2 linked regions of the Arabidopsis thaliana genome follow. The main gene of each other region encodes a partner of the protein of the gene in region 2 in a complex. Each region holds a gene or a part of one and is shown on either strand. Other genes may lie near its edges.

Region 1 (4,545 bases), 980 kb from region 2:
CCCAGCTGATTACTATGACTATCACGTAAAATTTTCTATCTTGACAGAAACTGTAACCGTTGTCTTGTGTTCTCTCTTCCGCCTGAAAAAAGTGTTTCCTTTTTGTCACAGATTTACACTTCTGCTAGCAATTTGTTTTCCATGTATCATCAATTTGATCGCACTTCACGCAAAGGTCCAAAGGTGCGGTAATAGATTATAACAAAACTTAATTCCAACAAACACAAGATGAAGCTTTCAGCGTTTTACTCACTCGTGAACTTTGTTTACAGGCTTTTGTCAGTGAATATGCTGTTACTGGAAAAGATGCTGGTACAGGAAGCCTTCTTGCCTCTCTTGCAGAAGCTGCGTTTCTCATTGGTCTTGAAAAGAATAGGTTCCCTTTGAATTTCTCTTCCCAGGCTTTGATCTCAACTAAAAACATCAAATAAGTTAAACATCTTATGACTTTTTGCAGTGACATTGTTGAAATGGCAAGTTATGCTCCACTCTTTGTGAACACAAATGATAGACGGTATCTCTCACTTACTTTTCCGTTCGAATGGTTACTCAGGAAGATAAGGCAATAATCTCAAATTGTTAAATTGGTTTCAGGTGGAACCCTGATGCAATAGTCTTCAACTCCTCTCATCTATATGGAACACCTAGCTATTGGGTTCAACGGTTTTTTGCAGAGTCAAGCGGAGCAACTCTTCTCACTTCAACACTCAAGGGAAACTCTACTTCTCTTGTTGCATCTGCTATCTCTTGGAAAAACAATGGCAAAGATTACATACGCATAAAGGTAAACCGAGTGAAAGATTCAACCGGAGCTCTGATATTGACCCTAAAAAACTGTTTCAAAATCTGTTATTTGCAGGCTGTAAACTTCGGAGCTAACTCAGAAAATATGCAAGTGTTGGTAACTGGATTGGACCCGAACGTGATGAGAGTTTCGGGATCAAAGAAGACAGTACTTACCTCTACCAATGTGATGGATGAAAATTCCTTCTCACAGCCAGAGAAGGTAAAAATCAAGAGATGGAAGAAACATCATTATCATCACAAATTCTGAGTGTTCCCATGTTCTTATTGGTTTTTATTTGCAGGTTGTACCACATGAAAGCTTGCTAGAGTTGGCAGAGGAGGATATGACCGTTGTTCTCCCGCCACATTCCTTTTCTTCATTCGATTTGTTGAAGGAATCTGCAAAGATAAGAATGCCAATCTCTGATTCTTCTTCCCATCAGAAAACTACCACTGTGTGAAGAGAAACAATGACAAGGAAGTATCAACTTTCATGTCAAAAGTCTCTTTGTGGTTCAAATCTAATTACATTCCATAAATGCTTATAACGTACCCTTGTGTATATATAATAATAGTCTGGTGAATAAATTTACTTTCTTTAATCATGAGCTTATCTCGACTCTAGATATCTTGATATGCAAGAATGATGAAGCAACAGTTTCTTCTTAGCATAAAAGAAGATGACGAGGCGTGAAAGTGGGCTGGGCCATTTTATTTCCATTATTGGGCTTTTAAAAGCCCATCATAATGAATTTTGAAAAAAATGGAGGAGCATCAAAACAAATAAAAATGGCGAAACTGAAGAACACACGATTCAGATTTTCAAAATTGAATTTTGTAGTGATCTCTCTCCTATATAAACTTCCTCACTCTTCTTCCATTTCAAATCTCTCTCTCTGTAGTCAAAATTAGGGTTTATTTATTCATAAGGAAGAGCATTTCGAATTCTGTAGTTCAAAATTGAAGATCATGTCGGCGTCAACGGTGTCAATCACCGCTAGTCCTAGGACAATAAGGCGGACGCCGGTTCTCTCCGGTGAGAAGAAATCTAATTTTGATTTCCCGCCGAGCGAATCTCATGCCAATGCGGCAATTGGAGAGTCGTCTGCTGGTACGAACAAGGATCTGATTCGCGCCGAGGCTGCCGGTGAGAGATCCAACACCTACGACGTAGGTCCGGTGACAAGGAAATCAGGATCCACCGCGACGGGGACTAATACAACCACCACGCAGCGTCGGACGCGGAAGTCTCAGGGGAATAAGATAGATAGAGGGAAATGGAAGACAGTGGTTAGGGTATTCGCGAAGCAATTTGGGGCTCTTTTGTTACTTGTTGGATTGATTCAGTTGATTAGGAAATTGACTTTGAAGGATTCGTCTCTGTCTTCTTCGAATTTCCCAATTGAAACGGAAATGGTGCTTTCGGAATTGGAGAGTCGGATTTCTGCAGTTGATGGTTTGGTGAAGACTACGACGAAGATGATGCAGGTTCAAGTTGAGTTTCTTGATAAGAAGATGGATAGTGAATCAAGAGCATTGAGGCAGACGATAGATTCCACATCTTCTGTGTTACATAGTGAGTTGAAGAAGGTAGAGTCTAAGACAGAGAGGTTACAGGTTTCTGTAGATGAGTTAAATGCTAAACCTTTGGTGTCTAGAGAGGAGTTAGAGAGAGTTTACGAGGAGTTGAAGAAGGGTAAGGTCGGTGATTCTGATGTTAACATTGATAAACTGAGGGCTTATGCTCGTGACATAGTGGAGAAAGAGATAGGGAAACATGTTGCAGATGGCCTTGGTCGAGTAGATTATGCGTTAGCGTCTGGTGGAGCTTTTGTAATGGGGCATTCGGATCCGTTTCTTGTTGGAAATGGGCGTAATTGGTTTGGGACAAGCAGGAGACGGGTTCATAGCAAAGCGGTTAAGATGTTAACTCCGAGTTTCGGGGAGCCTGGACAGTGTTTTCCTCTGAAAGGAAGCAATGGATATGTTCTAGTCAGGCTAAGAGCACCAATAATTCCAGAAGCTGTTACTTTGGAACATGTCTCTAAGGTAGTACTAACATCTCAATACTAAACTTTCACAAAATGATTGATTTTTATATGTTAATTTGAGCCTTCAAGAAGGGTTCTCTGTTAAATGTTGTTGGTATTGAGATGCCCTGTACTTCGGATTGGATTGCTGGTGACAATAGGTTATCGAATAGAGGGCAAGAAACTAGTTTTGTGAATTTGAGTTCTTATAGTTTGAGGTTTAGTTTAGGCACTAGCTGTGACAATATGCATTGAGGAGGATTTTACCTATTGTTATTTTCTGCAAATCACTAGCTTTAGCAGTTCCTTTGTCTAATATCAATGCCACTGTGTTGTTGTGCTTTGTTTGGGACATCGTTGACAGAGAAAAGAACCGTATGTATGGGAAGAGCTTGTAAGTTTACAATTAGTGGAACTGTAATATTCACTGTTTACGGATATCCTTAGGAAACAGTAGCTGAAGGGAAATAGTCTCAAGAGTGTGTAATGTGATGGTCACACATTGCTTTCCATCATTGTTCATCCTTGTGATCATTTGTCTGATAAATTTCTTCTTGTCTGACCACTAAAAGGCAATACTAATCTTACGGTTATGTTATGCACCATTTAATCGAACAGGCTGTAGCATATGACAGATCGAGCGCCCCAAAGGATTGCCGTGTATCAGGATGGCTAGGTGACATAGATATGGAGACTGAGACAATGCCCCTTCTTACAGAATTCAGTTACGACTTAGACAGGTCCAATGCACAGACATTCGACATTGCAGACTCTGCTCACTCAGGACTTGTCAACACTGTCAGGCTAGACTTCAATTCCAACCATGGAAGCTCTTCACACACTTGCATCTACCGCTTCAGGGTTCATGGCCGTGAACTAGACTCAGTCTCTGTTGCTCATGCTTGATCTGAAAGTCCACGTCAAACTTTTCTTCTCTTTGTAACATTCCCTCTAATAGATATCTCTCTTCTTTTTTTGTGTTAGTTTATGTGGTGGGAAAGCTTCTCTTAGTCTGTAATCAGAATCATTTGGTTGTATTCGTGATTATTAGCTTCAAATCTGTTTTGGTTCGGTTTATTTGGTCAGGGTATGTATCCTCCGAATTGAATAATATAGATCTTAGTTTGATGTCCGGTTTTGGTTTTGTAACAGAGTTTCAATTTAAGCTTTCACCTAAAACAAATCATACAAATTCTAATAGAGTATACATATTTCATTAGTTGAAACAAATATTGAATTTGGATTATTAATGGTTACCTTGGGTACTTGGTATTACAACGATATGTGATGAATAGGAAGAGTGTGTATATAGATGGACCATAACTTGTTAGTGTGAATTGCGTAATCGACAAAGTGACGACTTCTTCTTCTAGGCTGCACCGTCTTGCCTTGTCTAAAAGCTTCCCAACACATCACATGCAAAATCTACGGTCAAATAATAGATATGAAACCCTCTTCCAAGTCAACACAGCTTGTTTGATTATAAATTAAATTAAATACAAATTCATCTTTGACATGTCTGATTAATGTTAATTTTTTACAGTGTCAACTGGCATAACAAATTGAGCTAAACAAAATTAAGCTCTAAAAATAGCCATTTTTTACGGTTAAATCACATGAAGAAACCTTTCCTAACCAAGTCAACCCATGTTTGGTCGTCGTGACGGTGGACCACCGGCTCCAAAAAAACTCTTCATTTGACCAAAACGAGTATAACCCTTAATTATTA
Region 2 (4,487 bases):
GATGGTGCACCGTGACCTTTTCCTGAATCATCAGGTCCACTTTTATAACCTCCGTAGATTATATTAACGGGTATTTTTGGTGGTGATGGTGCATTGTGACCTCTTCCTGAATCATCATGACGACTTTTATAACTTCCATAGATTATATTCATCGATACCTTTGGTGGTGATGGTGCACTTTTATAATCTCCGTAGATTATATTCATCGGTACCTTTGGTGGTAAAGGTGCATCGTGACCTTTACCTGAATCATCAGGTCCACTTTTATAACCTCCGTAGATTATATTCATCGGTACCTTTGATGGTAAAGGTGCATCGTGACCTTTACCTGAATCATCAGGTCCACTTTTATAACCTCCGTAGTTTATATTCATCAGTATCTTTGGTGGTAAAGGTGTATCGTGACCTTTACCTGAATCATCAGGTCCACTTTTATAACCTCCGTAATTTATATTCATCGGTATCTTTGGTGGTAAAGGTGCATCGTGACCTTTACCTGAATCATCAGGTCCACTTTTATAACTTCCGTAGATTATATTCACAGGAACCTTCATCGTTTTTATGAGCGGGTTAGTTTCTCCCATGACTGGTGGATTCAAACTTCTTGCATGGGCATAAGGTCCACGACACACAAAACAAGTGATAAGGGATATGAAAACTATTTTGGGAATCAAACAAGACATGGTGGGAGGCATCAACATTATTCGAGGTTTTTTTTAGGACTAGGAAATGGGGATGTGAAAATTGAAATTGGTAGAAAAAAAGAAGAAGAAGAAGTTGTCTTTTTTTTTGTTGATAGAAAATGATTGTTACAACTTACAATATATTAAAAATGTGAGTATTTGTATGTATATATAATAGATTATTGATTCACTCAAAACATATAATGTATTGTTATAATGTTTAATAATGATATGAATTATGTTAAAAAATAAATATTGTCTCAAACACAATATATCTAATCATAATTACTGTCTTAAACTATAGATGATATACAATAGTTACTTATGACAAAGTTTATCATTTTCAATTTTATTAGTACAAAATCAAATATTTTCATAGATATCAGTAAAAATACTATTTTGACAATTAACAATATTAAAATAAAATAAATTTTGTGGATATTGTAGATTCTAAAGTAAAATAACTATAATAAATTTTAAAATAAATGGTAATCACATTTTGTTACATGTTACTAAAATACTTAATTTATATTTAATGAATCAGTTTATCTGTCCATATTTTAAAATTTCACTAAAATTTTCAGAAATGTTTTGGAATTAGATTTCAGATTGTAAATAGTTTTCACTAACTTTTAATTATATAAATATATTAAATATTTACCCATTTCCTCAACAGAATGGAGATTTTACATTTATAAAACAATTCCATACTTCAAGAATTAGCATTTATTTATTTATTTTTTAAATCTGTTTTATACAAAAAATAGATAAAAAAATCATTTTAAGGAGTTGATTTTTTTAATGATTTGTAAATGTTCAAATCTGCATAAAACATTATTTTGATTTTTGAATATGATACCAAATAAATCTTTTAAATTTTAAAATAGAAAAATCACACTTTTCATTATTTTGAAAATATTTAAGTCTAGTTTTAATGGGCCTTATCAGGCCAACATGTTGGGCTCATATACACACTTTAATTCCGACATGTTGTGTACTCCAGATCGGACGGCCAGCTTGGCGCACTGGGTTTATGTCATGTGGGTCCCACGTATGATTCGCACCATCTTCATTATTTTTTCTCTTTCTTTATCTTTAATGTTTTTTTTTTCCTGTGTCTGTAGAATCATTTCGTCCACTTTAATCATTTTCGTTGATACAGCTTCTCCCGGTAATAATGTCGGCGGATTTCTCCGTCGCACTCTAAATTCTTTAGGATTTTGTTTCTCTTGCTCATCTGTAACTCAGGCAAGCTCTCGTTGGATTGTTTTAGGTACGCTTTAAATATTGATTCGAGTCGCTTCTCTCTGTTTTCATTAATTTTGTTTTTTCAAAAAATTTCTGGACTTGATTAGATGAGATTGTTGAATTGTGAATTGAGTTTTGTTCATTGTTGTTTCGGTAGATGAGGTTAGAATAACACTATACATCAGTTCTTTCTTTTGAAGTAGTGAGCTGAATCTAGTTCTTTAGCTGTTGGAAATTTTCAGATTTGTGTCTCTGATGACAGAGAATTTGATACCTTTTTTTTTGTTGTGAAATGGATTTAGGCATGAATGAGTCAGTCCCTGATTCTGTGGAAGACAACGGTAATTCAGTCCCTGCAAATGGATTATTAGTATTGCCTGATAATGATCATGAGGAAGGAGGTGTTGGATCACCTCAACGATCGAACAGCGTTGAATCTCCTGGTGGATCAGTACATTCTACGAGGAAAGGTTTTGGTTTGAAGAAATGGAGACGGATCAAAAGAGATGGTCCTGTGAGAGATGAGGCTGCTCCTGTTGATGATGGTAGTAAGTTACTGAAACGTGGATTGGCTGGTTTGGTGAATCCTCCTTCTAAACATGTAGAATTTTCTTCAGTTGAAGCAAGGCAGAGTAGTGAAGGCTCTGTTGGGTCAGTGAATATGGTGCATCATCCAGGGGTAGCCAACGGGTTTAGTCCCGATATAGGTTGTATGTTTGCTGTTGGGCAAGCGTTTGAGAAAAGTGAAGAGCATAGTGGTAATACCATAGGTGGAAAGAATGTAGTAGGAGGGAAGGTTGTTTCAGGTAGCCAAGAGAAACTCTGGAGTGATACCATCAAGAGGGCTAGCGAAGAGCGGGGGGATATCGAGAAGGAGAAGCCTTGTTCCAGCTTGGATTCCGACTTGAGAAGTAGTGATTTTGTGTTTTCGACTGGCTCGGTTTCTGTTGGTAACCATGGAGAGAAAGATGAGAGATTGACGATGAATTATATTGGGGGATTTAGCAATGAAGGTCAAGTTAAGGAGGAAGTTCAAACATATAGCAGAAGCGAAAACGGGAATAAAGAAGACGATGGAGAGAGTAAGAAAAACAACAATCATTGGGCAGATAAAGACGCACTTGCAGATTCTATCAGAAGCTTTGCAGTTCTGCAGGAAGTTCTTTGGAAAGGTTTGCACACGAACCTTGATTTTTGATATCCATGTGAATTGTTTCAATGTTCATGTCCTAAAGCTCCCATGTTTATATTATCAATGTTACATGATATTTCTAAACTAACTATGCGATTGAAACGTGTGCAGAGGTTCAAAGTTTCCAGGAGCTAGGTAAGGAATCTGTACTACTACATTCGAACACCGATGAATTGAGTTCAGACCAGCCAAGTCATCAAAATTGTAAAGAAGATAACTCAACATCCTCAGGATCAAAGGCACTGATCTTGAAGGAGAAGGTAAAACTTCTGGAACACAAACTCGAGGAAGCGAGAGCTGCTCTCGAGGCAAAGGAAGCTAGGATCCAAGAACTCGAAAACTCAAAGATTGAATCTGAACTTGAATGCATCTTCCAGAGAAAGATTGAAACTGAAATCGAACATTTGATGCTCACAAGATCTCTGAGTTCACTACAAGTACTCCAAGAAACTAAGAAGTTACATTCTCTGAAAGAAGATCCTGTATCAAACCGTGGAAACATCTTAGGAAAAACATGTAAGCTCGGTTTCTATATCTTGACACAATTGATCTTGCTCGTCTCTATACTTCGGTTTCTCGTCCTACAATTCTCTCCTGCTTCACGATTAGTAATACCAACTTGAAAAATTCCTTCTCCTTGTTGTGTTACCGAACATTTTTTTTGTTTCTCCAGATTGTAATAAATAAGGTCTCTCAAGGATATTGTCCCCATTGTTATAGTTAAATTACGATGTTTAAATTTCCCATCAACAACTAAAGAGACATTATTATTTTGTGAACTAGATTTTTGATATCGAATCCGATCACCGGTTATAATGGTTTGCCGACGGTTTTTGTGATTTGACTCAAGAGTGTAATAAAACCTTAACTTAAATCTTGGTTTTTGATTCAATCTAGATTCGGTTAATCAACCGGTCCGGTCTGGTTTTTAAAACAATAGGCCATTGTTGTAGGGAGTAGTTTAATCGGGGCAGAGGCTTATGCTATGGGCTTGGACTCTCAGGTTTCGTCTTAAACCTAATCAAAGTAATTTAAGCCGAAAACGGAAGGAACTAAAATTGGTGTCTTGACTAAAAATAATATAAAGGACATAAAATTAAAGTCCCCAGATAAAAGTTTGTATGATTTAGGGCAAAATCTCAGAAGATAAAATCATTCAAATTTGTGTGAATTTCGTTTAATCCTTATCCAATTTGTCCCAATTTATAATCTTATAAGAAAAATAAAAATCTGAAATACGGTGGTCTCAATTGCTCTTACCTTTACCAAGACGGCCATAAGAAAAAAAAGATGTCGACCGATATTTCACCACCCTACTCTCAAACTCACGTGGAGCCCGTTAATGGTTATCCTTCTGACAACAA

The links. Proteins that work in one complex are often made in the same cells at the same time.
Region 1: WIP3 (region 2) and SUN2 share a complex: the UniProt entries of both Arabidopsis thaliana proteins name them as parts of the LINC complex.

The regions. Positions count from the first base shown.
Region 1 is NC_003074.8:3,357,733-3,362,277, reverse strand, and holds SUN2 (SAD1/UNC-84 domain protein 2), read left to right. Parts: upstream 1-1,575; 5' UTR 1,576-1,755; coding exon 1,756-2,835; intron 2,836-3,434; coding exon 3,435-3,722; 3' UTR 3,723-3,990; downstream 3,991-4,545. Other genes in the region: ASD1 (alpha-L-arabinofuranosidase 1), read left to right, coding at 1-25, 112-183, 273-376, 458-514, 595-784, 860-1,006, 1,089-1,247. UniProt on the Arabidopsis thaliana protein: Component of SUN-protein-containing multivariate complexes also called LINC complexes which link the nucleoskeleton and cytoskeleton by providing versatile outer nuclear membrane attachment sites for cytoskeletal filaments.
Region 2 is NC_003074.8:4,337,731-4,342,217, reverse strand, and holds WIP3 (WPP domain interacting protein 3), read left to right. Parts: upstream 1-1,771; 5' UTR 1,772-1,781; coding exon 1,782-1,956; intron 1,957-2,233; coding exon 2,234-3,103; intron 3,104-3,234; coding exon 3,235-3,746; 3' UTR 3,747-3,932; downstream 3,933-4,487. Other genes in the region: AT3G13370 (formin-like protein), read right to left, coding at 1-554; AT3G13350 (HMG (high mobility group) box protein with ARID/BRIGHT DNA-binding domain-containing protein), read left to right, coding at 4,414-4,487. UniProt on the Arabidopsis thaliana protein: Mediates and enhances the nuclear envelope docking of RANGAP proteins mediated by WIT1 and WIT2 in the undifferentiated cells of root tips.